Linked DNA regions of Callithrix jacchus. The protein of the gene in region 1 interacts with the protein of each later gene in a pairwise test. Links are inferred from orthologs where the notes say so. Each region holds a gene or a part of one and is shown in the gene's direction. Other genes may lie near its edges.

What was found.
Region 2: the proteins of NCK2 (region 1) and ABI2 interact in binary tests that used the Homo sapiens proteins (3 or more experiments, as listed by UniProt). The link is inferred for Callithrix jacchus from reciprocal best matches to the Homo sapiens genes NCK2 and ABI2.
Region 3: the proteins of NCK2 (region 1) and LCP2 interact in binary tests that used the Homo sapiens proteins (3 or more experiments, as listed by UniProt). The two-hybrid records come from large-scale screens. The link is inferred for Callithrix jacchus from reciprocal best matches to the Homo sapiens genes NCK2 and LCP2.
Region 4: the proteins of NCK2 (region 1) and EIF3H interact in binary tests that used the Homo sapiens proteins (3 or more experiments, as listed by UniProt). The two-hybrid records come from large-scale screens. The link is inferred for Callithrix jacchus from reciprocal best matches to the Homo sapiens genes NCK2 and EIF3H.
Region 5: the proteins of NCK2 (region 1) and RASSF7 interact in binary tests that used the Homo sapiens proteins (3 or more experiments, as listed by UniProt). The two-hybrid records come from large-scale screens. The link is inferred for Callithrix jacchus from reciprocal best matches to the Homo sapiens genes NCK2 and RASSF7.
Region 6: the proteins of NCK2 (region 1) and CHN1 interact in binary tests that used the Homo sapiens proteins (3 or more experiments, as listed by UniProt). The two-hybrid records come from large-scale screens. The link is inferred for Callithrix jacchus from reciprocal best matches to the Homo sapiens genes NCK2 and CHN1.
Region 7: the proteins of NCK2 (region 1) and BCL11A interact in binary tests that used the Homo sapiens proteins (3 or more experiments, as listed by UniProt). The two-hybrid records come from large-scale screens. The link is inferred for Callithrix jacchus from reciprocal best matches to the Homo sapiens genes NCK2 and BCL11A.

What each region holds. Positions count from the first base shown.
Region 1 is NC_133515.1:15,959,019-15,962,518, forward strand, and holds the end of NCK2 (cytoplasmic protein NCK2), read left to right. Parts: intron 1-2,023; coding exon 2,024-2,218; 3' UTR 2,219-3,304; downstream 3,305-3,500. UniProt on the Homo sapiens protein: Adapter protein which associates with tyrosine-phosphorylated growth factor receptors or their cellular substrates. Maintains low levels of EIF2S1 phosphorylation by promoting its dephosphorylation by PP1.
Region 2 is NC_133507.1:124,617,724-124,621,791, forward strand, and holds the start of ABI2 (abl interactor 2), read left to right. Parts: upstream 1-1,268; 5' UTR 1,269-1,493; coding exon 1,494-1,610; intron 1,611-4,068. UniProt on the Homo sapiens protein: Regulator of actin cytoskeleton dynamics underlying cell motility and adhesion. Functions as a component of the WAVE complex, which activates actin nucleating machinery Arp2/3 to drive lamellipodia formation.
Region 3 is NC_133503.1:62,517,721-62,521,220, reverse strand, and holds part of LCP2 (lymphocyte cytosolic protein 2), read left to right. Parts: intron 1-965; coding exon 966-1,164; intron 1,165-3,421; coding exon 3,422-3,500. UniProt on the Homo sapiens protein: Adapter protein primarily involved in signaling pathways within T-cells, as well as other immune cells such as platelets, mast cells, and natural killer (NK) cells.
Region 4 is NC_133517.1:80,780,821-80,784,320, forward strand, and holds part of EIF3H (eukaryotic translation initiation factor 3 subunit H), read left to right. Parts: intron 1-187; coding exon 188-337; intron 338-3,500.
Region 5 is NC_133511.1:131,332,673-131,336,949, reverse strand, and holds the start of RASSF7 (ras association domain-containing protein 7), read left to right. Parts: upstream 1-1,477; 5' UTR 1,478-1,566; coding exon of another isoform or gene 1,567-1,746; intron 1,747-1,911; 5' UTR 1,912-2,067; intron 2,068-2,795; 5' UTR 2,796-2,859; coding exon 2,860-3,055; intron 3,056-3,519; coding exon of another isoform or gene 3,520-4,112; exon of another isoform or gene 4,113-4,277. Other genes in the region: LMNTD2 (lamin tail domain-containing protein 2), read right to left, coding at 181-266, 642-797, 887-974, 1,325-1,477, 1,567-1,746, 3,520-4,112. UniProt on the Homo sapiens protein: Negatively regulates stress-induced JNK activation and apoptosis by promoting MAP2K7 phosphorylation and inhibiting its ability to activate JNK.
Region 6 is NC_133507.1:54,443,039-54,447,052, forward strand, and holds the start of CHN1 (N-chimaerin), read left to right. Parts: upstream 1-1,214; 5' UTR 1,215-1,420; intron 1,421-1,545; 5' UTR 1,546-1,712; coding exon 1,713-1,731; intron 1,732-4,014. UniProt on the Homo sapiens protein: GTPase-activating protein for p21-rac and a phorbol ester receptor. Involved in the assembly of neuronal locomotor circuits as a direct effector of EPHA4 in axon guidance.
Region 7 is NC_133515.1:53,588,596-53,592,626, forward strand, and holds the start of BCL11A (BCL11 transcription factor A), read left to right. Parts: upstream 1-1,231; 5' UTR 1,232-1,491; coding exon of another isoform or gene 1,492-1,567; 5' UTR 1,568-1,599; coding exon of another isoform or gene 1,600-1,628; coding exon 1,629-1,683; intron 1,684-2,136; exon of another isoform or gene 2,137-2,171; intron 2,172-2,173; exon of another isoform or gene 2,174-2,389; intron 2,390-3,976; exon of another isoform or gene 3,977-4,016; intron 4,017-4,031. UniProt on the Homo sapiens protein: Transcription factor. Associated with the BAF SWI/SNF chromatin remodeling complex. Binds to the 5'-TGACCA-3' sequence motif in regulatory regions of target genes, including a distal promoter of the HBG1 hemoglobin subunit gamma-1 gene.

The sequences.
Region 1 (3,500 bases):
TGCATACACATACTTAGATCTCATACCTGTGTGTGTACACACATAAACTCACACGCTACACATTCTCTCTTAATACTCACATACTGCCTCTCACATATGCACACGTTCACACACTTATAGCTCCGGTAGCTCATGTTCCTCTCCCATGCAACTCTGGGGTTTTCTTCATAGAACTTACTGCCCTGTGCAGCCATCTGTCCACCTCTATTTAGCCATCTCTATTTATATGCACTGGATCATCACGGAGCATATATCCTGCATGTGCGCACAGATGTATCCAGGGCACAGCCTGCCTGGCATGTGTTAGTAACTAATTGTTGTTTAATTAATTGATCAAAACTTGATATTTCTGTAAAGAACATTTGTCATTCATTATCTTCTTTCCTGCATGCTGTTCAGCAAATGAGATAAAAGCTAATTTTTTGGCCGGGCGCGGTGGCTCAAGCCTGTAATCCTAGCACTTTGGGAGGCCAAGGCGGGTGGATCACGAGGTCAAGAGATCGAGACCATCCGGGTCAACATGGTGAAACCCCATCATCTCTACTAAAAATACAAAAAATTAGCTGGGCATGGTGGCGCGTGCCTGTAATCCCAGCTACTCAGGAGGCTGAGGCAGGAGAATTGCCTGAACCCAGGAGGCGGAGGTTGTGGTGAGCCGAGATCGTGCCATTGCACTCCGGCCTGGGCAACAAGAGCGAAACTCCGTCTCGGGGGGGGGAAAAAAAAAAGCTAATTTTTTTTTTTTCCCCCCCCGAGACGGAGTTTCGCTCTTGTTGCCCAGGCCGGAGTGCAATGGCTCAGTCTCAGCTGGGATTACAGGCGCATATCACCACACTCAGCTAATTTTGTACTTTTAGTAAAGACAGAGTTTCACCATGTTGGCCAGGCTGGTCTCAAACTCTTGACCACAGATGATATGCCTGCCTTGGCCTCCTGAAGTGCTGGGATTACAGGCGTGAGCCACTGCACCCAGTCAATAAAAGGCCCATTTTAATTAAAATAAAGACATCTTTCTAAAATATTCTGAAATATAACTAAGGCACTGACATATCACAGAATTAAATATTTTTCAGTAAAATCTGTAATCAAACCATAGTTCAGCTTCCTCTGGGAGATTGTGAACTGTTTAAAATGCAACCAGAATTTTCCACTGCTCTTTATATTTTTAAATGCTTAGAATTAGAAAATTTTTGATGTCTTAATTTCTAATAGTGTTAGACATCAGAAGAAGTAATATTTCTAGCTACTGCCTACATAAAAACCACTCTTAATAAATTCCAGGTTTATCAAAAAATAGTTTGGTAAATAAAAATGACAGATTTCTTGAGCAGTCAGGTCAGCACTGTATATTCCATAATGAGGTGCTGTATATTCCATAATGAGTTTGCACTTTTCAAATAACTAAAACACATTTAGCACTGAAACTGGGCTAAGCAGAGTGTAACATTTCTTCTGCTCAGAACTTCAGAATCATGGACTGCCTCCAGGTCTTTCTGAACATCAGATGCCATTCTAGATATAAAACAGAGACCCAGCCAGGCACGGTGATTCATGCCTATAATCCCAGCACTTTGGGAGGCCAAGGCAGGCAGATTGCCAGAGGTCAGGAGTTCGAGACCAGCCTGGCCAACATGGGGAGACCCTGTCTCTACTAAAAATACAAAATTTATCGGGGCGTGGTGGTGGGTGTGTATAGACCCAGATACTCGGGAGGCTGAGGCAGGAGAATCGCTGGAACCCCGGGGATGGAGGTTGGTTGCAGTGAGCCGAGATCTCACCACTCCACTCCAGCCTAGGCAAAAGAGTGAAACTCCATCTCAAATTAAAAAAAAAAAAAAAAAAGACAAAGGGTGGTTTGGATTTAGACACGCAGGAGAGGTGGATGGAGGTGCCCAGAGGGTTCACAGTCAGTGAAGCGAGCCTCAGGCCACCCAGCGGCAGCGCCCACGTCCTGGGCCTCCCCGTGCTGGACAGGAGCTCCCAGCTCTGGCCCGGCTGTAACTGTGTTGTGTTTCCTCCGCAGCCCAGCGACTTCTCCGTGTCCCTTAAAGCGTCAGGGAAGAACAAACACTTCAAGGTGCAGCTCGTGGACAATGTCTACTGCATTGGGCAGCGGCGCTTCCACACCATGGACGAGCTGGTGGAACACTACAAAAAGGCGCCCATCTTCACCAGTGAGCACGGGGAGAAGCTCTACCTCGTCAGGGCCCTGCAGTGACGGTGCCCCAGCCCCACACTCGCCTCTTGGTGGCGCTACCGCCCGGCCCTGCCGCAGAGGCTCCTCCCGTGGGGACGGCCCCGACGGCTTCCCAGCGAGTCTCTTTATGTTCAGGTCGCTTGGTCGGTTTGTCTCCCATTCGCCATCCAGGCCTCACCCACACTCGCGCCCACCCGGCCCAGCCCGGCCAGCTTTAGAGGAGGGGAGGAGCAGGGCGAGTTCACGATATTCCTTTTCCATTGGAAACGGCACTCGTGCATTCAACTCGTTCCCACTCACGGAACCCCTCATGACAAAGACACGGGGCACCTGTGAGCGCGTGAGCGAGCCTCAGGCCACTCAGCGGCGGCACCCGCGTCGTGGGCCCTCCACGTGCTGGGCAGAGCAGGTGCAATGGCCCCAGTCCTAGCAGCCCTCGCCCGTGTCCTGTGCCCTTACATGGCTCCCGGACTCTGCAGGGAGCCAACATGTTTGCTGATAGCAATACTGGAACCACCGGGAGCGAAGGCAGTGAGGAGACTGCCCAGTGCCTTTGGGGCTGTGCTTGCAATAAAGAGTTTCCTGGAAAGGCAGTCTGCAAAAGAGGGAACCGGTGACTCAGAAAGACAGATGTTTTGGTAATTTACCCCAAATGTGCCATCCACATAGTGCTTTTTCCTCTTGCCCTTTGGCTTGTTTGAATCTCACAATTATGTATTTAATTCTCAAAGAAATATGTATCTGTAGCTGTTTGTTGACACTAATACAGATGATTAAGGAAAACAGCTGATCTTTGGGGAAGGGAGCTACCTACACTTTATACACACACACAGACACGCACACACACGCGCGCACACACACTATATATATATTATTTACAGGGAAAATTTTCAGGGTTTACAGAAGAGTATGTGATTGGTAGTAAGAGACACAGAATGTTTATGAAGAAATTGCATTTTCTTTTTCCTTTACATTTGAACTTCTTTATAGTTTAAATATACCGTCTTGAGATGGCACATTCCTACAATTGAAGAAGGGGTCTTGAGATCCCCTAAACTTGCATACCCAGTTTTTTGGATATTGTAATAAAAAAAAGTATTATGACGAGGCTCTATGTGTATTTATCCTTGGGAAAACTCTGGTTCAATCATGGGAGAGTAATTACTGCAGCATTTCCTGAATGCTCATTGCAGAGCAGGAGTCATTTTTAGAGAAGAGCTTCACATTTTTTACTTGTGTGTTTTCATTTTCTACTGCCACATTTTTGTATATTGAAATAATAAGTTTTAATTTGTGAAACTCC
Region 2 (4,068 bases), on another chromosome or scaffold:
TGAAGCTAATACAATAACATTAAGGTTTGCTCCAGAAATTTGTAATGGTATGGTTTAAAAGTGATTTTTTTCGGAAGTATAACATAGTTTCCTCATCATCTGAATGAAAAAAATTCACTGTAGGCGGGCCAAGAGATCACCAGATTAAGAACAAGTGTTGAAAACAATGGATTTTGTTCTAACTAAACAAGTCTAAGATGGCACTGCTGGAAGTCAACCTTGATTTTCCACAGCACAAATAAAGGTCACAGCTTTGTATCTCAGCAATTGTCAGGAGTTTTAGTTTTTCAAGATTACATTGTATGGGGTAGTTGGATTTAGGGAAACAGGACACAGTATCTGGAGAATAAAAACAGAATTATAATTGCAAGAGCAAAATTATCTGCCTTGAATTTTGTAGCACTTCATGTTTTTTTCAAGGTGTTTTCACATAAATGTTGATTTTTATCTACATAACAGCCCCGTGAAGAAGGCAGTTACTACTAGCAAAATCGTTTTCAAAATTTTAAATACCGAAACCATGAATTAAAAAAAGGACAGCGAAGTTGACAGCATTAGATAAATGACAGAAAAGGTTGTGGGTGAGGAAGCAAATCATCGAAATGGCAAACATAAAAAGCTGAGGCCCAGGGGACCGCAAACCAGAAGAGTAAGGGGCTAACCTGGCACGAGAGAAAGGCTTTGGTGGGGAAGTGTAAAGAGGCCGGAGCGCAGGTAAACTGGGGTTAGGAAACTGCAATTCACGGCAACAAAGAGGATGGGGTCAAATTTGAGAAAAATGAAGTCAGGTGGCATTGAAAGCTGCGTGGAAGTTTGTGAGCTTTATTTCTGCCCCGATGAGGAGTGATCTTTCACAGAGGAGGGTCCCAAGAGCGGAGGCTGTGTCCTCCTTCGGTTCCCCATCAGCAGCAGAGGGAGAAAAGCCTCGAGAAGTTCCCCAGGCCGATGACCCCCACGGGGGCTCGGCCCCAGGGTGAGGACAGCGCCGAGGTGAGTCCCGGAGGGCGCCGGCGGGAGGCCAGCGGAACTGGCTGGTGCGTTCCCGCCGGGCTAACAAAGGCCGCCGGGAGGTGAGGGCTTCTCCAGCCGCTCCAGCGGTCCGCGGGCGGCGGAAGGGTTAACTGCGCCACCGACTCCCGCGCGCATCCCGGCCCCCACCTCTGTCGTCGCTTGGAGACGCCGGAAGTGGGGGAGGGGCCGGCGGCGCGGGCGAGGGTGGGAATCTTTTTCGGGCGCCCGGGGGCGGAGAGAGGGGAGCGCGCGTGCGCGCGCCCGGCCTGCCGTCGCCGCGGTGACCGTCCTCGCAGTCCGTCGGCTCGCGCCCCGCCCCCGTCGCCCCCTCCCCTGTCGCGCGCTGGGGCTGTTTCTCGCTCCTCCCGAGTTACCGCCGCCGTCGCCGCCGCTCCTCCTCTCCCGGTCCTGGGTTTCCCTGGCGCTGCGGCCGCCGTTCCCTCTGCGAGCTGTATGAGGAGGAGGAGGAGGAGGATGTGAAGATGGCGGAGCTGCAGATGCTGCTGGAAGAGGAAATCCCGGGGGGCCGCCGGGCCCTCTTCGACAGCTATACGAATCTGGAACGGGTGGCCGATTACTGCGAGAACAACTACATCCAGGTGCGAAGCATCCCCCGCTGGGGCGCGTCCGGCCTCGGGTGGGCGGTGAGGGGCGCGTAGGGGACCCCCGAGTGGGGAGCCGCGCGCCTTGGGGCGTGGGGCCGAGACCGCTGCGGGGACATGGCCCGGTGGAGACCCCAATGGGGGTGGGGAGCTGGGTGAGGGCTGGGGCTGGTGAATGGGTGGGAATCCTCCGGCTGGATAAACTGCATCTTTAAAACCTATTTAAAAGCGGTGAAGCAGTCCTAGGCTCGGTGCGTGTATCGCGTCCCGCCTCCTCGCCGCTCCTGCCCTCGGCCGCCCCCGCACTCCGCGCGGGTCAGCGTTCCGGTTGGCGGAGGGGGCGGAGAGTGGCATTTTCTGTTTGACGGAATCCTACTCCCCCTTAGGGTAGGGGTCTCGCGGGCTTTGACGGGTTACCTCCATCCCCCAAATTCTGGACGATTTTTAAGCGGCTATCTTGCTGCAGAGTGAAGTGCTTCAGACTTCAGTTTTCTATTCCTGTGAATGCTTCAAAAGCCCTTAATATTTTATGTTCTAAAGGGGATACGGTGGAAGAGCAGCGGTCTCTTGTTGAAAGTTAATGCCGTTTTTCTCCCTATGGAGAATGATAATCAACTGATTCCCTCCTCCCTCTAGTCCCGTTAGAAAATTTTCCTGGGGGTGGGAGGAGGACGGACTATTACTGTTTCTTAGAGAGAATTGGGAAGATAAACCTCCTGGTTTAATTTTTTTTTTTTTAATACCGTGATGGATCGTTTGACACAGGGCTCACAGGGGTAGCGGCGTGTGTGTGGAGGCGGCAGATATTGGGTGACATGTGATCCAGCTGCTTCTGGATGAAGCAAAATATTCTGTGGATTAAAAAAAAAATCCTTCTTTAAAAATCACTTGAAAGGATAGCAGGTTAAAATGCACAGTTTGCAAAATCCAGCATCCTTTGCTTTTTTTTAAAAAAAAGATTTTGAATTATGGGTTCTGCCTCCATTTTTTTCTTTCACATTTAAATTCTCTTGGGATAAAGGTGGAGATGGAAGCAATATGTTAAACTGTTTCTTCACAGTCCTGTTTTTTTTTTTTTTTTTTTTTCTTGCTCCCACCTCCATCTCTCCAGGCATCCTTTTTCTTTTCTTTTTGAGACAGAATCTGGCTCTGTAGTCCAGGTGGGAGTGCGGTGGCCCCATCCCATCTGTTCTCACTGAAACTGGTCTCGACCTATTCTCGTGCTTCAGCTTCCCGAGTAGCTGGGGCTACAGGCGCACGTCACCACAGCCGGCTAATTCTTGTATTTTTAGTAAAGATGGGGTTTCACCATGTTGGCCAGACCAGTCTCGAACTCCTGACCTCAAGTAATCACCCACCTCGACCTCCCAAAATGCTGGGATTACAGGCAGGAGACACCTTAACATCAGATATATAGGAAAGCATTTTCATGTTTTAGTGTAAAATTTTAAAAACAGATGTTACAATTTTATTGGTTCATAAATTTTGTAATGGCCACATTGTTGATTACAGTAGTGAGATTTTGTGATTAGATATTGTTATCTTGTAGACAACATTTGTATTTGAGAATGTACCGCAGTATAAACCTGTTACCTCGAAAGACACAGTTGAATATGGCTACTAGGAAAGAAATGTAAGCAAGATTAATACAAAAAAATACAAATGTCCACTTGTAAGGTACTTTGCTGATTCAGAGGTTCAGGCCTGGGTGACGAGTGAGACTATGTCTCAAAAAAAAAAAAAAAAGGTTTAGTTGCTCAATTTTTCGCTAAAATTGAAGGTCTTTTTTGGCCTAGAACTTCGTGAGGGGTGGATAGTACATACCTAGTGTCTACAGAGTTTCATAGTCTAGGTAGCAGGAGAGGCTGATCTTGGAGGAAATTAATATGTTAAATTTACACTCCGTAGTGCACTGCTGGTACCAAGGAGGACTGGAGGAAGCAATGCTGTTCTGAGGGAATTCACAATCTTTTGTTTTTTTCTTATTCCCTCCCAATATTGCATTATTTTTTTTCTTTTTGGAATTCACAATCTCCAGGAGAGGCAAAACCTAAAGGACTGAAGTGGTAATCCCATTGCCTTGTGCAGCATATTATGGATAGGGAGTTGCAGGTCAGAAGAGAAGTTGAGGGTGGAAAACTGCATTGAAATTATTACCAGTAAGAAATAAAATAGCCAGGCATGGTGGCTCATGCATGTAATTCCAGCATTTTGGGAGGCCGAGGCGGGCACATCACGAGGTCAAGAGATCAAGACCATATGGGCCAACATGGTAAAACCCTGTTTCTATGAATAATACAAAAATTAGCTGGGCATGGTGGCACGCGCCTGTAATCCCAGCTATTCGGGAGCTGAGGCAGGGGAATCTTGAACTTGGGAGGCGGAGGTTTCAGTGAGCCAAGATTGTGACATTGCACTCCAGCCTGGTGACAGAGTGAGACTCCATCTCAAAAAA
Region 3 (3,500 bases), on another chromosome or scaffold:
AGGATTTCTGGGACATTGGAACATACCTTTCCTCAAAAAAGTGGCCACTTCCCATTGCTTTTTCCCACACTGCCCTTGAGTGTTGAGCTCTGGGCTCACTGACTCACGCCTGGACGTTGGCATGACCACGGTGAGCGCTCATCACTGCTACTGCTGCTGCCACCTCTGCTGGGAAGTCATTCCGATGCTCCTGCACTTTCACTGCCTCAAAGGCAAGCACCCAGCACTTAGAGCTTACTTTCCTTGAGACTCGGGAAGAAGCAAAAATAAAGTACAGTTAAAAATTTAAAATTTAGAGAGTCTTTTTCAAGAGAGCAGCTTCAAACTCAGTGTCAGATTTCATGAATAATGGATGTGTTGATAGACTCAACGCTCAGCAAAAAGAATAGAGCAGCCTCTGACCATCCCCTTCTAGACACAACCTAATCTGCCTTCCACTTAACAGGCTTTGTTGATCTGTTTTCCCCATTAGCTAGGTTTTCAACACTGCACTAGGTTATAATGAGAGGAAATTTTTTGAGCACATGCACACTAAGAAATGGTAATTAATTAGTATCATCACAAATGCTCCAGGCCCTTAGTCTTTCTCTTGGTAAAAAGAAAGTAAAAAATGTGTAATGTGCTGGGAGTAAAAAATGTTTTTACTCAAAACAGAGCCTATTCCTGTGCCCTCTGTTCCAACATCCTCCTCATTTCTTCTCTTTTTCTCTGTTGTGCAAAAAGACGTTGTGTAAAAAGGTGGTCTGAAGACCTTCAACAAGGTCTCAAGTCCATGACTTGCTGCCCCTGTGATATGATGCTCCCTGACCTCAGTTTCCTCATCTGTAAGATGAGAGTAACCATCTTCAGGCTGCCTGGTCCCGGGTTATGCTGCTGTGAGGCTTGGCAGGGAGAGAGTAGGCAAAGGCACATCGCGGGCCACAGAGCCTCTACAAACTACACGGTCTCTGCCACTGTGTTGGCAGGAAGAAGATGACTATGAAAGTCCCAATGACGACCAGGATGGAGAGGATGACGGTGACTATGAGTCCCCCAATGAGGAGGAAGAGGCACCCGTGGAAGATGATGCGGATTATGAGCCGCCACCCTCCAACGATGAGGAAGCTCTGCAGAGCTCCATCCTGCCTGCCAAGCCTTTTCCCAACTCCAACTCCATGTACATAGGTAAGGGCCCGCTTCCGGATTCTCTGGCCCCAGCAGCCTAAAGCCAAGCTCCCCACTGCTGCACAGAAGGCCGATGGCCCAGCTTGCCCATGTAGGAGAAAGCTCTGGGTGCCGATACCCGCTCGGCTTCTTAACAGCTATGTGGCTCTGTACAAGTAACTCTACCTCTCTGGGCCTCAATTTCCTCATCTGTGAAATAGGAAAATAACATACAGATCACGTAGGCTTGCTGTGAGAACTGCTAATAGTGCAGACAACTCCTGCCTGTGGTGGCTGGTATCAGCATTGAACTACCCCACCTAAGGCTATTTGGCAATTTCAGCTCATTCTGTGGTTTACTCAGGTACTCCAAGAGTGCTTTCCTGTTCTTTCCCATCTTTTGATCAAATCATAGTCACATGGTATTAGTATGTTAGAATAAACATGAAGATATTGAGTAGGGTTTGATTCTAACTTTAAAAAATGAGACGATATTTATGATTTTTATTGTCTCTCTGTCCTTTTAGCCCCCTCACCTCTCCATTCACTCATTCAGCAAACACCGTTGATCTGCTGGAAGCCCAGGCCCCATTCTAAGTGCTGAGAAACAATCAGGAAAGATGACACAGCCCCTGCCTCCTGGGGTTTACATTCTAATAGTGACCTTGACAGAAAATAAACAAATATATACTTGTATCATATACTTTCAGGGAGTAAGCCGAAAATTGAAGATCAGTGCCACAGAAAATGAATATATTTAATCTTTTATGCGGTATAACTCATTTCCATTTTAAAGCCCTTTCACAAAATGCTGTCTCAATATGTCATGGTGGTTTTTTAACGCCCGTGTAATAAGGACAACCGTGATCAAGCCTGTTTCATATATAGAGAAGCAATGAATAAGCCAGTTGTTGAGTGCCTTGTGTGTGCCTGTCATTAAGAAACAGAGTGAGCAAGACAGTCTTTGCCAAGGGACTGACAGTCCAGTAGGTGAGGCAGCCTCTAACAAATGAGCCATGAGATTACTTAGTGAAACCGTGACATAGAGGCAGGAAGACAAGTGCAGGAGATGAGGCTGGGGCGTTTGCCTGAGGGTGTGATCTTTAACTTGTGATATTAAACTGAGATTAAAGGATGAATGCAAGTTGGCCAAGTGGAAATGGATGTGGTAAGGGAAGAAGTTTGAAGCAGTAGAAATGGCCGTGCAAAGGGCCTGAGGCTTAAACGAGCATGGCCTATTAGAGAAGCTGAGAGATAGTCATTGTGGGTGGAGTGGGGTGAGATTAGGTCAGGCTGGGCCTTGTCCTACCCTCATCTCTGTGGAAGAGCCACGCCTCTCCAAGCCTGGGACTAGCGTGAGGCAAGAGAGGCACCCAGGGCACAAAGCGTAAGGAGGTCCTTACGCTACATCTGTTCCCACTCACCCCTCTTGCCTGATGGTCTTGTCCTGGCCTTTCCCCATCAAAGGGGTAGGAAATTGCCAGCCTGTCAATCTGGCCTAGGGACACTTCCTTGACAATCTGGATAATATGAGTTTCTGTTCAGATAATGTGTGTTTCTGTTCAAGGCAAATCTAGCTACCACTTAAGAGTCTGTGGTCTGGTAACAGAAGTAGGTGACCAGCTCCTCCCTTTATGGGAAGAGATGAGCAAAAGGAGGATATGTCAGTGAGGAGACGGCCCAGGGCATTGGAGAGGGCAAGGAAGGGCAGCCAGAACAGGATCCGTATGGGTAGAGAGAGCTGACTTTACCCTACATAGGAAGCTGGGTGTGCCTGTGGGATTTTTTGCATGTGTGTGTGTCTGTGTGCACACGTGTCTCTGTGTGTGCAGGTGTGTGAATACATATGCATGTGTGTGTGCACGTGCATGTGTGCACATGTGTATATTTGTGTGTCTGCATACAGAGGTATATGTGTATGTTTACTTCTTTACAAAACTATCTGAAAATGCTCCCTTCCAGTTCAGGCTGAGCTATTTACAAAGAGGACTTTCTTGATTGGTAAAATCACTGATTAATACCTATTCCTGTGAAGTGCAAAGGAAGCTGAGCCTGTGTAGAAGAAGAGTAACACGAACTGGGACAGAAAAACGGGCCGGGAGGGGTAGGTGAGATCCAGGCTGGGTCTTGCCGTGGCTAGGGTTCCTGCTGGCACTGATGGTACTGGGGTTCGAGGATCATGCACCTCCCCCCCGTGCCCTGAGCTACATCTGTTCCTGCAGACGCCTGAGCTTGACCAACACTCGCCTTTCACCTTAATAACCTTGTGTTTCCACAGACCGGCCCCTCTCTGGGAAAGCCCCCCAGCAGCCTCCTGTGCCCCCTCAGAGACCGATGGCCGCCCTCCCGCCCCCGCC
Region 4 (3,500 bases), on another chromosome or scaffold:
TTACTCAGATCACTCAAACTTATGCTTGACTCTGTAAAACTCTAGTTTCTCTGCCTTTTTTTTTTTTAAGAGTGCTGATGAAACAAAGATCTTGGACAGGGCCTATAATTAGGTAAATGTTATGAAGTAGTCAATTTAGCACCTACTTTTGACCATCAGACTAAAGTATTTGTAACATGCTTCACAGATTGAAAAAAGCAAATATCACCTTTGAGTACATGTTTGAAGAAGTGCCGATTGTAATTAAAAATTCACATCTGATTAATGTCTTAATGTGGGAACTTGAAAAGAAGTCAGCTGTAGCAGATAAACATGAATTGCTCAGCCTTGCCAGCAGGTAAGTGGCCCTGCCTAATGAAAAGTCTGTGTTTTAGAACTTTTTGCAAAAGATTCTTTCACATAAACTTTACCTGTGAAACATGAAAACAGTTACTTAAGAACATTTATACGTTCTTAAAATGTGTGTTAACATGGAGTAATAGTCTGGCCCTGTTAGGATCTCAAGAAAAACGGCAAACTGATAACATGAAACAACACATTGTTTAAATACTAATTGCTCGAATTAGAAGAACCCTCTGCTGTCGTCTTTGCTGTATCGTTTGTGCTTTGATAAGGTCAGTGCCCATGGGGGAGGCTTTTTTATTTGGCTCAGCTTTATTTCTTATACAGGATCCTAAGAGGCTTAGGGTATTACATCTGGATATTTAATAATGCTCAGGAAAAGAACAGAATTCTTTCACCGATTGTACTTGCCCTTGTTCACATATAGACTCAGTTGTAAAATTCCAGTTGTTTGCATTTTCCACTAAAATTTGAATTTTCTGAACCTGGTACTGACTTTAGCTGTCTTAGTTGGTGACATGATTTCCTCCAGCATGACTGCCTTAGCTCTCTAGTTGCTGACATAATGTTTATTATGTTTTTAAAATGCAGAGGTTTCCACAAAGAAGTATTCTTCCCTTTGTGAAATCCATGTTTATTTCCCTCATCTATTACTCTTAACAGAAATGTGAATAGAGCCACAGGTATCGCTCCTTAAATGCCCTTTGAGCCTCATGTCATCTATGTTGGTTGGCTGAAAGAAACAAGTTGTATTTTCTTAAGCAGTTAGTTTGGAGCGGACTCAATTATTTATTAGATTTCTAGTTATCCTAAATAGAGACTTAAAAAAAAGTACAGACTTTGTACTTCCTCAATACAAGGCAAGTGGAATGAACTCAGAAGGACCAGAGACATCAATGTTCTCCATGCTGTAGCACAGGTAGGACTGTGGTTGAAGTGCCACCTTCCATTGCATTAATTGATCACACAGGCCACTCACTGGACTGTCTTTACAGGGCAGGGATATGGACGATGAATGTAAGTGGAGTGCTAAGTAACACAGCCAGGTTGCAAGGCTAATTTGGCGCCAAAGAGCGTACTGTTTGACTGCAAACAAGTATTCATAATAGTCCTTTAATTTGTCTGTTTTAGAAGGTCATATTTTTCTTTATTGCTTTTAGAAACACACTCGGCACACCTGTATTTAAAGCATTTAGCTAAGAACCTTTTTCAGTATACAAGGTTACAATTTGATGTATTAAGTATATAGTCATATAATAATTTTAAATTTACTGCACGAAAGCTTTTGCTTATATAATTTATGTCTTCACCTTTTCCCAGGCTTCTTTATAGAGCATACAAAACAAATATATCCCTTATGGTGCTTTTAACATTACCGGTGAGCTGCTCTATAATGTCCATTTGTCCAAAGCGGCATTTATAATAGCCAAGAAAGCGTTCTCAGTTTGCCCTAGCAACTGGGACCTAGAGAAATATTTTATTATAGTTTTTGTCTTCTGTGTTTTTATGTAAATGAGGAAAAGAGGCCCTATTTCTGTGCTTTCCATGTGAAATTATTTAAAGTGTAAATTGACGTTCCTGTTAGGAGGGAAAAAATAATGAAGCAACCTTGAAGCAGTGCTTTTGTGCTTGTAGACTCTTACATTGAACCAAATCGATTACGTTATTTTAAAAGACATACATTTTATACATGTCGGTTTTTAATTTCTAACAGTAGTTGTGTGATGATGGCTCAGGCCAGTTGCCATGAAAGTTTCTGTAAGCAATCTCATCAGAAATCATTCTTATGCAAGTCCTAAACTTGGTCTTTCCCTTCACAGCCTATACATGGGCACCAGTTTCTTTGATGTGCCTGATAAATTTGTTCTGTGCTATGTCTAAAACTTACTGTATTTGCTTTTGTTAAAAAATCTAATTTTTTAATTTTATTAGATGGAAGTCCTAGTAATAGTTATTCCATAGCAAGCTTTATTAGTTTTTAAAAATGTGTAGCACAGGCGTTCAGCTTTTCACATGTGTAAAACAATTCTGTTTTTATTTCCTCTTTTAAAAAAAGTAAACTAAGGGTGGGTATCATACATTAAGGATTATAAGCATAAATTGATACTGTAGCCAGAGCAGACTTAACACTTCATGTCCTGGTTCACATCTGTTTAAGTTATCTGTTTTCAGTTCTTCATTTGCTTGGCCAGAAAAGAAAAGGCAACGTTACTGAAACTCCTAACAGTAAGTCCCTGTTTCAGCTTCCTAGTTAAACTGGTGCTGAAAAGATGCCCACAAAATTGGTCTTGGTAGTGGTCTGATTTTCTGTCAGTGTTAATTTCTGTTGCCCTTTTCTCAGATTCTTTTTTTTTTTAAGATGGGGTTTCACCATGATGGCCAGGCAGGTCTTGAACCTCTAACCTCAAGTGATCCACCCACCTTGGCCTCCCAAAGTGCTAGGACTACAGGCGTGAGCCACCGCGCCCGGCCCTGTTGCCCTTTTAAGACCTGTAGTACACTGATGTTTTTTTAAGTGTTTCTGATTGGTTATGTTTATGAAGAGCATCATCATAATATAAAAGTTAATGAAATCCTTGAAGTCCACATATTTGTACTTGTATCAGGGTTCTTTCAAAATAACTTCATATACTTGCAGCATATATTATTAGTACTTTATATTACAGACTTTTCGGGTAGAAACAGTGGGTCTGTTTTAGTAGTGCCTTTCTCATCACTGTAACCAGCCTCCAAGATTTAAGGTCTGGGTATAAATAGTAGATTTTTCTTTGCCTGTGGTAGTGCCTCTTTTTTGCTGTTGTTTTTTCCCCTCCTGTCACCACTTTCCTTTTAACCTCCCAGCCACAGCATTGGTGATGATCTTTTCTTTCTCTGTTTTCCTTTTGCAATTAATGACAAATGACTTAACAATTAATCGTGTAGCTAATGACATTTCTTATACTTAATGTGCTCACGTTGCTCATTGGTAAAAATGAAAAGATCAGTAGCCTGAGGCCAGTGCCCCTTGTCCTCTGCCTGCTCAGGACTTCATTAGGTTGGTGTATTCCTTCCTTCTTCATAGATTTTCCATTTCTTTCTATGCTAGTTATTTTTTATTATCTTTATTGGCTTGTTCTTCAATTAAAAATTTATTTTTACATGTTCGACTCTTTAGGCAA
Region 5 (4,277 bases), on another chromosome or scaffold:
CAGGACAGTGATAGCCCCTTCAACCCCAACCCATTCCACAGATCACAGGACTGAGCATTGGAGAGTTAAGGGACTTCTCCAGGGACACCAAGGGGTAGTGTCCTTGAGTGACCTGGGTCTTCACCTGCCAACATGAGCCCCCCCTTCTAGCCCCTGGGGAGGCCCTGCCTGTGCCGTTACTTTTGCTGGGAGTCAAGCTCCACGTTGGTGAAGAGGTTGGGGTACCGGCGGGCAATGCTGTTCCAGTCTTTTTCCAGCCGAAAGCCCTGGCCAGGAAACAAGAGGCACATTTCCTCCCAGACCACACACGTGGCAGGCCTAACTCACCTCCCCAGTGGGGGCCTGAATGTTCTCAGAGAGGTCACTTGGGTCCATCAGAGTCCCTGCCATCACCACCTGCCAGAGGGGACCAGAGGCCAGTGGGCAGGGACTGGGGCGAGTGGCACCCTCCCCCACAGCACCGCTCCTCTTTGACCACACCTGTACTTTGAGGCCTCCTGATTCCTCCCCGCTGGAGCCTGGAGTTCCAGAGGCAGCCTGAGCCCGGCAGGCTTCCAGGCAGGCCAGGGCCCCCAGCAGAGGTACCCAATGGGAGGGTGAGGGCTGGGGAGGGTGGCTGGGGCAGCGGGGCTTGCGCTCACCTCCACACTGCCAGTCTGGGATTGCAGCATGCGGCCCACCCACGAGGAGCGGGCTAGCTGCAGGAGGCAGGACTTCTGGAAGTTCTGCAGCTCAGCCTCTACCTCCTGGAGCCTGCGCGTGGTCTCCAGCAGCTGCTCCTCCAGGTACTCCTTCTCCTGCTCCAGGAGGGCCTGTGGGTGAGAGGCCAGCCCTGGCCTGGCTCCCAACACCAGGACCCCGCCCACTCCCTGTGCCCCCACCTCACCCACTGGGCTTGCTCTTTCTGTTCCTTCAGCTGCAGGGTCAGCTTCTGGACCTGGCTCTGCAGGAGCCTCTCCTGACTGTGGGAGCTCCTGGAGGAGGGATGACCTCAGCAGCCCCCAGCCTGCTCGTGCAGGCGTTCTTAACACCAGGTCAGTGGTGAAGGAGGGGCACCACGGCCATCTTGGCCCCAAGGGCAGACAGTACAGCTGCACTGGGGCCGGCCAGCCACCCACGGGTCTGGGCAGGGGCCTGGCACCCATCCACATGTGCAGGGCTGGGGTTGAAGCTGCAGTGTGTTAGCTTAGGGTCAGGGTGGAGGGTCGGCGTGGGCAAGGACAAGGGAAAGGATCTGACTCGGCGGTTGGGGTTGGGGTCAGAAACCAGGAGTCCGGGCCAGGACAGGGCAGGGTTGGGTTGGGCTGGATGCTGTGCTTCAGACCTCTTGGGCGGAAGCCCCGCCACCTCCTGCAGGATGTGCCAGAGCCGGGTGTCCCGGCCATTCCGGACCGCCCACCGCAAGGCCTGGATCTCTAGTTCTCGCTGCCCCCACAGCAGCCGCAGCGTGCGAGGATCCAGGGACTCAGGAGCCAACCTGCAGTGACAGTGTCCCCCGCTTCTTGCTCAGGCTGGGCCCCAGCCATCTGGCCCAGGAGCTTCACCACTTTTCCCTCCCATCCTTACTGCGGGTTGGCAGAGCAGGCCACCCGTGTCATGGAAGTCGCAGAGGCTGCAGGTGTGCCCGCTGGAGGTCCCAGGTGACCACTGACCGACTCTCGGTCTGTGGAGGACGAGAGAGCCTCCTCCTTGGCTTCTTCAGCCCCGGGGCCAGACTTGGGAGCCATTCGTGATGTTCTTTGGGAGCTGGGAGGAGTGGGGGGGCCAGGTCTGCTGGGTGTGCTTGTGTGGCCACATTGGGGCCGCCCAGCGGTGGCTATTTGAGGAGCCCCAAAATGGGTGTCCACACTTGTGTGTTTCTGACCTTTGCCAGTGACGTGGTGTCCTTCTCTTTCTCTCTGGTCTCCCCAGCTCAGGACCCCACCCCCAGCACTCACCTGAGGCCAGAGCTCCAAGCAGGCCTGGGAAGGAAGGGCTCTATACCGTTGCCCTGGATACCAGCACCCAGAAGGGGAGGGGCTGTTTGTTACCTGGAGGCTCCAGGGAGACCCCAGACCAGGCCCCTGGGTGAGTTCTGAGCCAGCCCAGGCTGGAGGAGGTGTGAGAGACTGAGCCACTGCTCAGCTTGGGGTGGCGGGGAACCACTTAGTGGCCAACACCCTCAAACTGAGGGAGGCCTCAGCACCCCCTACCCAGCCTGGTGGCAGCAGTGTGACACATATGGGGCATTGCTGCCTGTGAGCCAGGCCAGCATAGCCATGGGTACGTGGGGGACAGGAAGCAGACAGGTAACAGTGACAAGCTGGGGACTGGTGAGGGCTAACTTACAGTAGTACACCCCACCCACAGCCTCTTTTTAAATTAATAATTATTTTTATTTTTATTTTTTTTGAGGCGGAGTTTCGCTCTTGTTACCCAGGCTGGAGTGCAATGGCACGATCTCGGCTCACCGCAACCTCTGCCTCCTGGGTTCAGGCAATTCTCCTGCCTCAGCCTCCTGAGCAGCCGGGATTACAGGCCGCGCCACCATGCCCAGCTAATTTTTTGTGTTTTTAGTAGAGATGGGGGTTCACCATGTTGACCAGGATGGTCTCGATCTCTTGACCTCGTGATCCACCCGCCTCGGCCTCCCAAAGTGCTGGGATTACAGGCTTGAGCCACCGCGCCCGGCCAATAATCAATTTTTTAGAGACAAGGTCTTGTTTTGTTACCCAGGCTGGAGTTCCTTGGTGTGATCCAGCTCATGGTAACCTCGAATTCCTGTGCTCAAGTGGTCCTCCCACTTCTGCTTCCAGAGTTATTGGGACTACAGGTGCCTGCCTGCACCGCCAGGCCGGGCCCACAGCCCCTTCGACCTCAATGACCAGCACTCACCCGCAAGCTGGAAGCCTCACCTTTTCCAGCCATCTCCACACCCTCTGGGCCACCCCCAGGGACCCCTTTGGGCATTGCCATTATCATGACAAGTATTCCCTCTCCTCCTGGACAAAAGCGAGGCCAGACCTGACCCAAGCACTCCAGCCTTCGCCCTCCATCTCTGCAGCTTGTCGGCTGGGTAAGGCCTCCCTAGAGGAGCACAGGAGACAGGCCGGCAGGAGGCCCCTCCACGCCCACAACTCGTTCTGAGCTGGGCAGAATAGGCAATGAATGGCGGACCACGAGGCTGCGGACCCCGGCCGGGACAGCAGGGCAGAGGAGCGGCTTCCAGCCGGCTTCGCTATGCGCCAGGCCCGGCCCCGGGTCCTAAAGGGCAGGCAGGTGTCGGGGAAGAAGAGCCTCAGCCCGGGCCCCGGCCTTCTCCCGAGCGCGCACCTCCCGCACCAGGGCTCGGCGCCCACCAGCCCCACAGGGCTCCACGTCCCTAGCCGGGGACTTGTGACCTGCTAGCCTGAGACCCCTGCGCGTCCAGGCGACGGCGGCTGCGGGGGCCGCGAGGGGCGGTGCTGGCCCCGCTGCCCCCGAGCACAGGTGGGGTTTGCGGGAGCCCAGGCCGGCGACCCTCCCTGGGCAGGAACCCACCACACTGGAAGGCGGCTGAGGAAGTCCGCCCAGGAGCGGGGCCAGACACCTGCCCCGACGCGCCGCCCGGGGGGCCGCAGCCGCCGCGTTTCCGCGTACCTCGCAGGATAGGGGATGGGGGCCGCATCTAGGCCCCGCCCTCTGGCCCGCCCACACCTGGAGTTTCTGGGGGCGGGGCGCGGCGACGAGCCAATGGGGCGGGGAGGGGCGTGACGGAGGTAGCCAATGGACGAGGGCTGGAGGGCGGGACACCCGCGCGGGTAAGCCAATAGGGGTGCTGGAGGGCGGGGCACGCGGGCCGCGGGCCAATGGGGGCGCGGGGTCGGGGCGCGCCGCGGCGCTGGGGGCGGCAGGTTGCGGCGGTGCCCGAGCGGGTCGCGAGGCTGGCGAGCGCCCAGGTGAGCCGCGTCGGGTCCCGGGGCCTTCCGAGTGCGGGGCTTGCTTCGAGCCGGCCGGGCACCAACTCCAACTGGGGAGCGTTTTCCGCGAGGCCCGGGCGGGGGGCCGAGGGCGGGGGCGTCGCCGCACCTGCGCCCACCCGACGGAGCTGGGACGCCCGGGCTCCCGCCAGGCTGGGGTTGTGGTTCGGGCATCGGTGCCCGCGGCGGAGACCGGGAACTTCGGGGCGAAAGGAGCGATTGGGCGGCGGGGCTCCCTGGGTTGGCGGAGGCTGCTCAGACCCGGAGTCCGCTGGATGCGCGGGGTCGAGGTCTGGGTCGCGACCCCGAGCGCCGCTGCGGCCTGAGCGGGTCCGGGTG
Region 6 (4,014 bases), on another chromosome or scaffold:
TTCTTTCTTCTTGAGTTAACTGACTTGAAACAAAAGGCTTGGCGCTCCTCCTTCCAACCTGCTTTTCTTCTAATGCTTAAGTCTGCTGTGAAATAATGATGGTCAATTAACTGTGGTTCCATTGGAAGTACTGTAGTAATCCCCCACTTTATCACGATTCGATGCCTAAGATACATTAAATGCAATATATTTCTGTAATATTCTTAAAGAATTATTTGAAAATCGGAGAGAAGAGGGAAATGACACTAGGGAAGCTGAGGAACTAAAAGAGGAAAGATGCCTGAAGGAAGAAAGGAGAACCAAAGAGAAGCTCTATATGATCAGATACCAAAATAGCATCAAATCCCTAAGCAGAGAAACAAGAAAAAAGAAGGAATTTCTTAAACAGGGCATACATATAGCAACTAGAGAAGAATGACTTTTTGAATACATTAAACGGCAAGAACGAAAAACATCGTAATTCAGCTTTTCAAGAACATCTTTTGGCTGACAATCTCAAGGTGGTGTATGGCTTCTCATGGCAAAGGCAGAGGTGAGGAGAGAACATCCCAGAAAGCAGGATGTTGCCAGTGATTGTCAGATAAATACAAGAAGCTCAGGGGAAAAATCTTTTGTGGCAAATAAGTGCCAGTCAGTGACACATGCTGATTTTTTTTTTCCTTGAGACGATATCTAAGAGGTATAGGGAGGAAAATCAAGTGTAAGCATCGGCCTTTTAACAAATTATTTTAGGTAATCTCAGTTGATTTTAAACGACTCCTGTTTCCTAATGTGTGATAATTTCATCAGAACTACTCCTAGCCGTTCCTAAGTCCAAAGGGAGAGGAAAGCAGCATTCAGTGCCTGTTCCTTCCTACGCCTTGCAGCTTCAGGTCACCGACTCCAGCCTCAGTCAGTCCGGAGGGCGCCAAGAGGAGAAATATGTCCTCACGCGCACCAGGTCCCCAGATGACCCTGCCCGGGCGCTGCATTCACGCAGCATCCTCCCGTGACTCTTCCTCTTTCGAGTAACAGCCAGTTTTCTCCTCTCTGCGCCTCCTCAAATCCATTCAGGAAAAAGCCTGGGCTTTCAGCTACGACCCGACTCCATCTCCGCTCTGGGCGGCCGCCTCTAGGGGGGCGCGGGCGTCTCCTTGCCGCCCGGGGAATAAGTGCGCCCCCTCGTGCCCCCCGCCCCCCGCGCGCGCCCGTTGCCATGGGAACGCAACTCGGCCAGAGAGACCGAGAGAGAGGCGGGAGGCGGCGGCGCGGCAGAGCTCGTGGGAGACGCTATCGCAAGATGGCGTCTGCGAGGCCACAGGATGCGGAGTGAGCGCGCCCCGCCGGGGACTGTGCGAGGCTGCTGCTCTCCCCGCCGCCGCCACTGCGGCGCCGCCTCTCCGCCTGCCACTGCGCCGCTACCAAGCCTCCCGCCTCGCAGGTACCTCCTCCCGCGCGCACGCTCCGCGCCGGATGGCAGCGACAAGTGCCGGCCCGCGGAGAGCTAGCGGGGCTCCCTGGGGATGGTGCACCAGACGATAACGCGTGAATAACTTTTTCTTGCAGCAACCCTCGCTTCCCGGCCTGCAGCCTCCCAGAGCGCCGGCGCCCCCGGCACGCCCCGTCGGGCACCCCACTCCCTCCGAGGTGTGAGCGCGGTGGGCCGATGAGGTGATCCTCAGCTGGCCTGGGAGGAGCGCGTGGACTCGTGGGCGGCGGCGAGCGCCTTTACAATGGCCCTGACCCTGTTTGGTAAGTGCAGTCGTTTCCCCGTGCGCAGGTGGGCCGCGTCCTGGGGCTCGGGAGTGGGGGCCTGGAGGGCCCGGGCGCCGGGGGAGGGGGCACGGCGCGTGGGGTTGGGGCGGGCCGGGGCCGCAGAGTTGGGGTGCCTGGGGCGCCGGCTCGCTCCCTCGAGCCTCTCCCATTGTTTCCACTCCAGGCAGGGCCGATGGGCGTGTGCTCCCCTGGCCAATTCTAGGCTGGGAGGCTCAGAGGTCCTGGGTGTTTTGCAAACGCTAAACGATTCTCTAAGATGCCAACTTGGGAGTGAAGTTAACTGGTTGTTTTCAAACCTGCCTTTCCCAAGTCGGTAAATAAAGATCCTTGGAAAGTTTATTTATTTTGAACGAGGTATCTGTGCTTCGCCAGCCTCCTTGGAATTGCCAAATGCATGCGTTGCTTCCTGTTGGATTATTGGGCGATTTTTTTCTCTTGGACTCAGTATATTACGTTGGAAATAATGATTTGTGAACTGGTTATTGGTTAAAATTTTAAATGTTTGCGCTAACGAATGAGAGCAGACAGAAGAAAGTTCGTTACCGGAATATAGCTGTAATCTCAGGAGAATATCTGAGTTTTTATTAGGAAAGAAATGTTACTTTTGTGATGTAATTACTGCAACACTGTTGTTAGTGGGTAAGCCTTCAAGGTATTTGTCAGTGCAGTAACAATGGGTTGGGAAAAAAGACTGAAAAGATACATTATTTCCTCTTTCAAAACTGGACTATGATACATTTAGGTACTTGACTTTAAGAAAAGTCAGTATATGAACATTTAGACGTTCAAACTATTCACGTTTTCGAAGAAGCAAAGTACAATGATATGTAATTGATAGCTACAAGAACAATCTCAATAAGTTATTCACAATATCAAGTTTCCAGTTCAGTTTTAATTATGTCATTTGATCAAGCACTTTAGAGGTGATATGTACCTCAAATGCTTTTTGATGTAAATACCTTCCAGTGAATTAAGCTGCTGGAATCAAAGTGTTACTTTTATTTAACCATCTTATTCATAAATTAAACGTAGTGCTAGAGAGGTTATTTCCCAAGGTCACATGGCTCTTTTGTGGCAAAACTGAGTCCAGAATCCACTTCACCAGCCTTCAGTCTGGGATTGTGTTTACTGTGTCCAAGTACATTATTAGAAGTGACGTTGCTTACTTGGTGATGATCCTCCATAGGTAATTTTAAAAAGTTTCCTATTTTTCTGAAAAATAATAAAATGTCCATTGTTTCCCAGTACCTTGGATCTAATCTGCATTATTTAATAGCTACATTTTCCTTAAATGTAGACCTGTTTGATACAAAAATTTTCTTTCCTAAATAGATATTTGGCATTTTCAAGGTTTGTTTTCAGAAGTAAGGTTTACAAGTCAACATTTCAAATACTCACATTCCTGATGAATAAAAAAAGATAAATTGGGGGTAAAAAGCCTCTTTTAAAAGGATTTCTAAATTCTAAATCTTTAACCACTGAGGTGAAGATGAGGAATGGAAAAGCATGGAATGTAGCCTATAGAAGAAAGTGTAAGAAATCACCCCCAGCCTTCAAAATGAATAATGTATCTTTAAAATTTAAAAACCTACTTATGGGAAAATAGAATTCAGTTTACAATATCCAGTTTGTTACAATGTGAACGTTTCTGTATTATAAGGCAAAGCACTCTTGAGTGCAGAGGCTATTTTTTAAGTAGTAATAGAGCAGCAGCTGTTTTTAAAAGTGGTTGTACACCACTCATCAGTCATCTGCGATGTCTGTTAAAAATGTAGATTCTTTTGCCCAGAGACATGGGGGAAGGGGATTTTAAAATGACTCCCTTTGTGATTCTTATGCTCACTCAAGGTTGAACACTATTGTATTAAAGATAAATAATAGGAGATTAGATCAAACTTACCCATTCAAAATAGCTTTTTGTGTATGTTGAGAGACGTGCCCAAGAGTTAGAAGAAATGGGTTTTATTTTAGATTTTACTACCTTTGATTAGTTTAACTTCTTAGTCAGAAGTGCCTCATGTCCCTTTCTGTTTACTCTTTATGACCAACTTAGAACAGAAGAGCCATGGAGCAATAAAGTTCTGTGAGATGATAGTGAAAAGAGGTAGACACAAGGACCTAACCAGATCAGTGGGATTTGTCAGAGCTCAGCAGAGTTAAGGCCTGAGGCTCTCCAGAGTAACCACTGCCAAGGCCCTCTCTTGGTTGATTAGTTAGCACAGTCCAGCAGCAGAGTCTAGTCTAGTTATTTGCTTTGTG
Region 7 (4,031 bases), about 38 Mb from region 1:
ATTTTCTCTTTCCCTGGGTAACAGCACAGGAACAGTAGTGCTCTGCCCGTAAGAAACATTTTCTTTCCATCCCTCTGTGCTTTTGCAGTTGCTCTGGAGTGGGAGGGGGTGTGTCTCTCCTAGGGACCGGGCTCGGGGACCTCCCGCGGCGCCAGGAGCACGTTCCCAGGGACTGGGTCTCCCGGGACTGCCCGCGCTTTGTGCTCGGCCGCTCAGGGAGGTGGACGCCTCAGCGCCTCTCTCGCCCAGGCCCCCGGCGCGCCCCTCCGGGGGCCAGACTCTGGCTCCTCGTTCTTTATTCCTCGGGCTCTCTTTCTGCGACCCTTAGGAGCCGGGGACTCCGGCGCTTTCAGTTGCATCCAGACCCAGTCGCTTGTAGGGGCGCTCAGATCCCCGGTCCCTGGCTCGGCCTTGGGGGCGCCCTTGGGCCCCTGCCTGCGCCGCCTCCCTCTCCCCTGTCCACTCTTTCCAGGCCTCCCGGGCTCCTAGAGACCCGGGAGCTGCCCTTCCGGACCTGCAACCCTCCAAACTTGGGCTGGATTCCGCGTTGCCGTGCGCTCCCTCCCGCTTCCCCTCGCCCGCTGCGGAGCTGTAACTTGGAGGCTCAGCTCTCAACTTCGGGTGATTTTTCTTTGCTGTCTTCTCCTCGGGCAAAGTTTCCCGAGCGCGGCCGCGGGCTCGGGGCTTTCACTTCGGCCCCTGGCGTCTGCACGCGGGGAGCGAGCGCGGCGGCGGCGGGGAGGGGAAGTGGGTGTGCGTACGGAGGAGGGTGTCCGGGAGCAACTCTACCTGGCTTCCCTCCGCCCGCGCTTCGCCAGCCCGGGGCTGCAGCCTCCCCGTGTACTCTCTCTCTGTTTTTCTTTTAGAATAATCTTTCATTTTAGGGTCCGCGTGTGTGGGGGGGAGCAGGGCGCACGTCTTGCTCCCCCCCACCCTTTCCACCCACCCCTGCCACCCCTTTCTTTTCTCCCCGCCACGCCACCGCGGCGGCGCTCGCTGCGGCCACTAGTGAGCCCGCGGCCCCAGCGCCCCCTCCCCTCCGCCTGCCCCTCCCCCGGGGGCCGCGTCTGGCGTCCGCGGAGCCCCCCGCCCCGCACCTCCCCCGCCCCGCACTGGCCATTGGCTTGTCCTGGTCTCTTTTTCATGTCCAGCCCCTGATGTGTGTCCATTGGTGTGAGCTTCCCCTTCCCTCCTCCCCTTCTCTCCTGCTCGCCCTGCCCATGTTTTGTGTGTCTCTGTCCATCCAGACTCCTGACGTTCAAGTTCGCAGGGACGTCACGTCCGCACTTGAACTTGCAGCTCAGGGGGGCTTTTGCCATTTTTTTTCATCTCTCTCTCTCTCTCTCTCTCTCTCCCCCTCTATCTCTCTTCTCTCTCTCTCTCTCCTTTTTTTTTTTTTTTTTTTTTTGCTTAAAAAAAAAAAAGCCATGACGGCTCTCCCACAATTCATCTTCCCTGCGCCATCTTTGTATTATTTCTAATTTATTTTGGATGTCAAAAGGCACTGATGAAGATATTTTCTCTGGAGTCTCCTTCTTTCTAACCCGGCTCTCCCGATGTGAACCGAGCCGTCGTCCGCCCGCCGCCGCCGCCGCCGCCGCCGCCGCCCGCCCGCCCCGCAGCCCACCATGTCTCGCCGCAAGCAAGGCAAACCCCAGCACTTAAGCAAACGGGAATTCTCGCGTAAGTAACCCAATAATAGTAATAATAATTATTAATAATCACGAGAGCGCGCAGGACTAGAAGCAAAAGCGAGGGGGAGAGAGGGGTGTGTGCATACATTTTTAAATTTTTCACAAGAAAAACCTCCAAGAGTCGAGGTAAAAGAGATTAAAGGGAGAAAAAAAACCTCATCCCATCTCGAACCATTGCCATGTATGCACTTTTGAGACAGCACGCACCTTTTAATTTTATTTAATTTTACAAAAATTTGACTCCTCCTCTTTCCTCCTTTCCGCCGCTTTATTTCTCTTTTCGAAAAGGAATGCAATGATTTCCCACCCCCAGTTTTGCAAAATAATGAACAATGCTAAGGATGCGAACTACTCAATGGCAAACCTGGGGGTGGGAGCTGGTGGGGAAAGGGAGGTTGCTTCCCACTCTCCGTAAGAAAATGGGGGGAGGGAGTGAGTGAGTGCAAGTCTGAAAAACGATTCCCGGGGAGAAAAGAGGTGAGACTGGCCTTTGGACACCAGCGCGCTCACGGTCAAGTGTGCAGCGGGAGGAAAGTAGTCATCCCACAATAGTGAGAAAGTGGGACTGTGGAAAGGGGCCCCCGGCGCTCCCGAGTCCGCCGAGTCGGGAGAGGGGTCGTGGCAACGGGGAGAGCCGTGGGACCGGGAAGGACGGGAGACGCGGCCGGCACTGCCGCCTTTTGTTCCGGCTCGAGGTGGGTGTTTGTCCCGCTGCCTTTTGTGCCGGCTCTTCGCGCTTGCCCTCCCGCGCCGCCGCCGCCGCCGCCGCCGAAGGGCAGGAGCCAGGGCCCGGGGAGGAGGCGGCCGGGGGCACGCGGGAGAGGGAGGGAGGGAGCCCGGACTGCTGCCGCCTGGGTTGCCGCTGCCCACCCCTCCCGACCCAACCTCAGAGGCAGCAAGGAGAAGACTGGCACATAAATACATACATAAAAATAAAATAAAATAAAACAAGACAAGAGAATGTACAATTTCTTGCCCCCAAACCAAGGCCAGACGCTCTGCCAACACTTCTCTGTGACGGTCTTCTCTTTGACTCCCCCACTACCCCCCCCCGCAAAAATCTCACAATCTCTAATCTGTAAAAAAATTTACAATCACCCCGTTCCCCAAAATCCCTTCAGTTGCAAACTTAGGGCGCCGGCGGCACGGAGAGGGAGAGAGGAACTCCCTCCTCTTACTATTTTTTGGAAGATTTTCAAAAAAAGTGGAAGTGGATTTTGATTGGGAAAAATCTCGTGTCTGAATGTTTACAAGCACCGCGTGTGCGGGAGCCTCCTGCCAACAAACAGACAGAGGACCGAGCGCGGCGCGGCAGCCCCGGAGCAGGCAGCGGTGGCGGCCTGGCCTCGCCCGGGCCTTGCCGGACCTCGCTGCGCCCCAACCCAGCCCCGGATCGCCCACCCGGCGCCCGCCGCCCACCCGCCTGGCACGGCGGCAGGCCGCGCAGTGACTCCGCGCCAGCGTGGCCCGCGATCCCAGTCCGCCCTCAGCACAATGCCCAGACCTCTTCTCGACCTTCCAGACTGCGAAATCGGCTGCGTGAAACCCGGCTTTGCAAAGGATTTTTATTTTGTAAAGCAACTGTAAAAGCGCGTTCTGCGGCTCCCCTCCCCTCTGCCCTGGGTACTCTCTCAGATGTCTCTTGTCCACAGCTCCGGACTGCGGGGAGGTCACCACGTGCTTTCCCTGCCCCCACACCTCCCGCTCAATCTGGCCACCAGCCCCCCTGCGCCTGAGCACGGCCAGGCCAGGTGGTGGGGGTGCCGGGGGAGGGCAGGGGAGAAGTGTGTTTGAGTATGCATTTTGAGGGTGCTGGATCCTGGGACCCCGAGCACTTCACTCTTTGGGTCTTGCCCTCTTCCCAGGGCCTGGCTGGGTCTAAGGTTCTTGTGAGTTTATACAAGAGGTGGTGGTGCTGGCTGTCTCCCGCTGGCTGACTGCGCCTGGAAAGGCGGGCGGTGGGCACTTAGGAAAGTTTGGCAGCAAGGGAAAGAAAGGCGTGAGAGGGCGCACATCCCCCCCGCTACCCAATTTATGATTCTTAAATTTTGGATGCAGTTTTCAAGGACCAACTATACTTGGTTTTGTGTTTTTTAAAGGGGTGGTGGTAGTGGGTGCGCCTAGGGAATTGAATTTTTCACTGGGCCCTGGAACTTGTCACACATTTCGGAAGCTCCCCCGCCCCGGCACGTTGCGGGGCCCTCCCTCTTCCCACCCCCGCGCATCCCTCCCTCGCCTCTCTCCCCCGCCCCCCACTCCCCCGGCCGCGCCGGATGCTGATCAGACGCGGCGCGCGGCGTTGTGAAGTTACAGCCCGGCCAGGTATCGGCGGGAAGG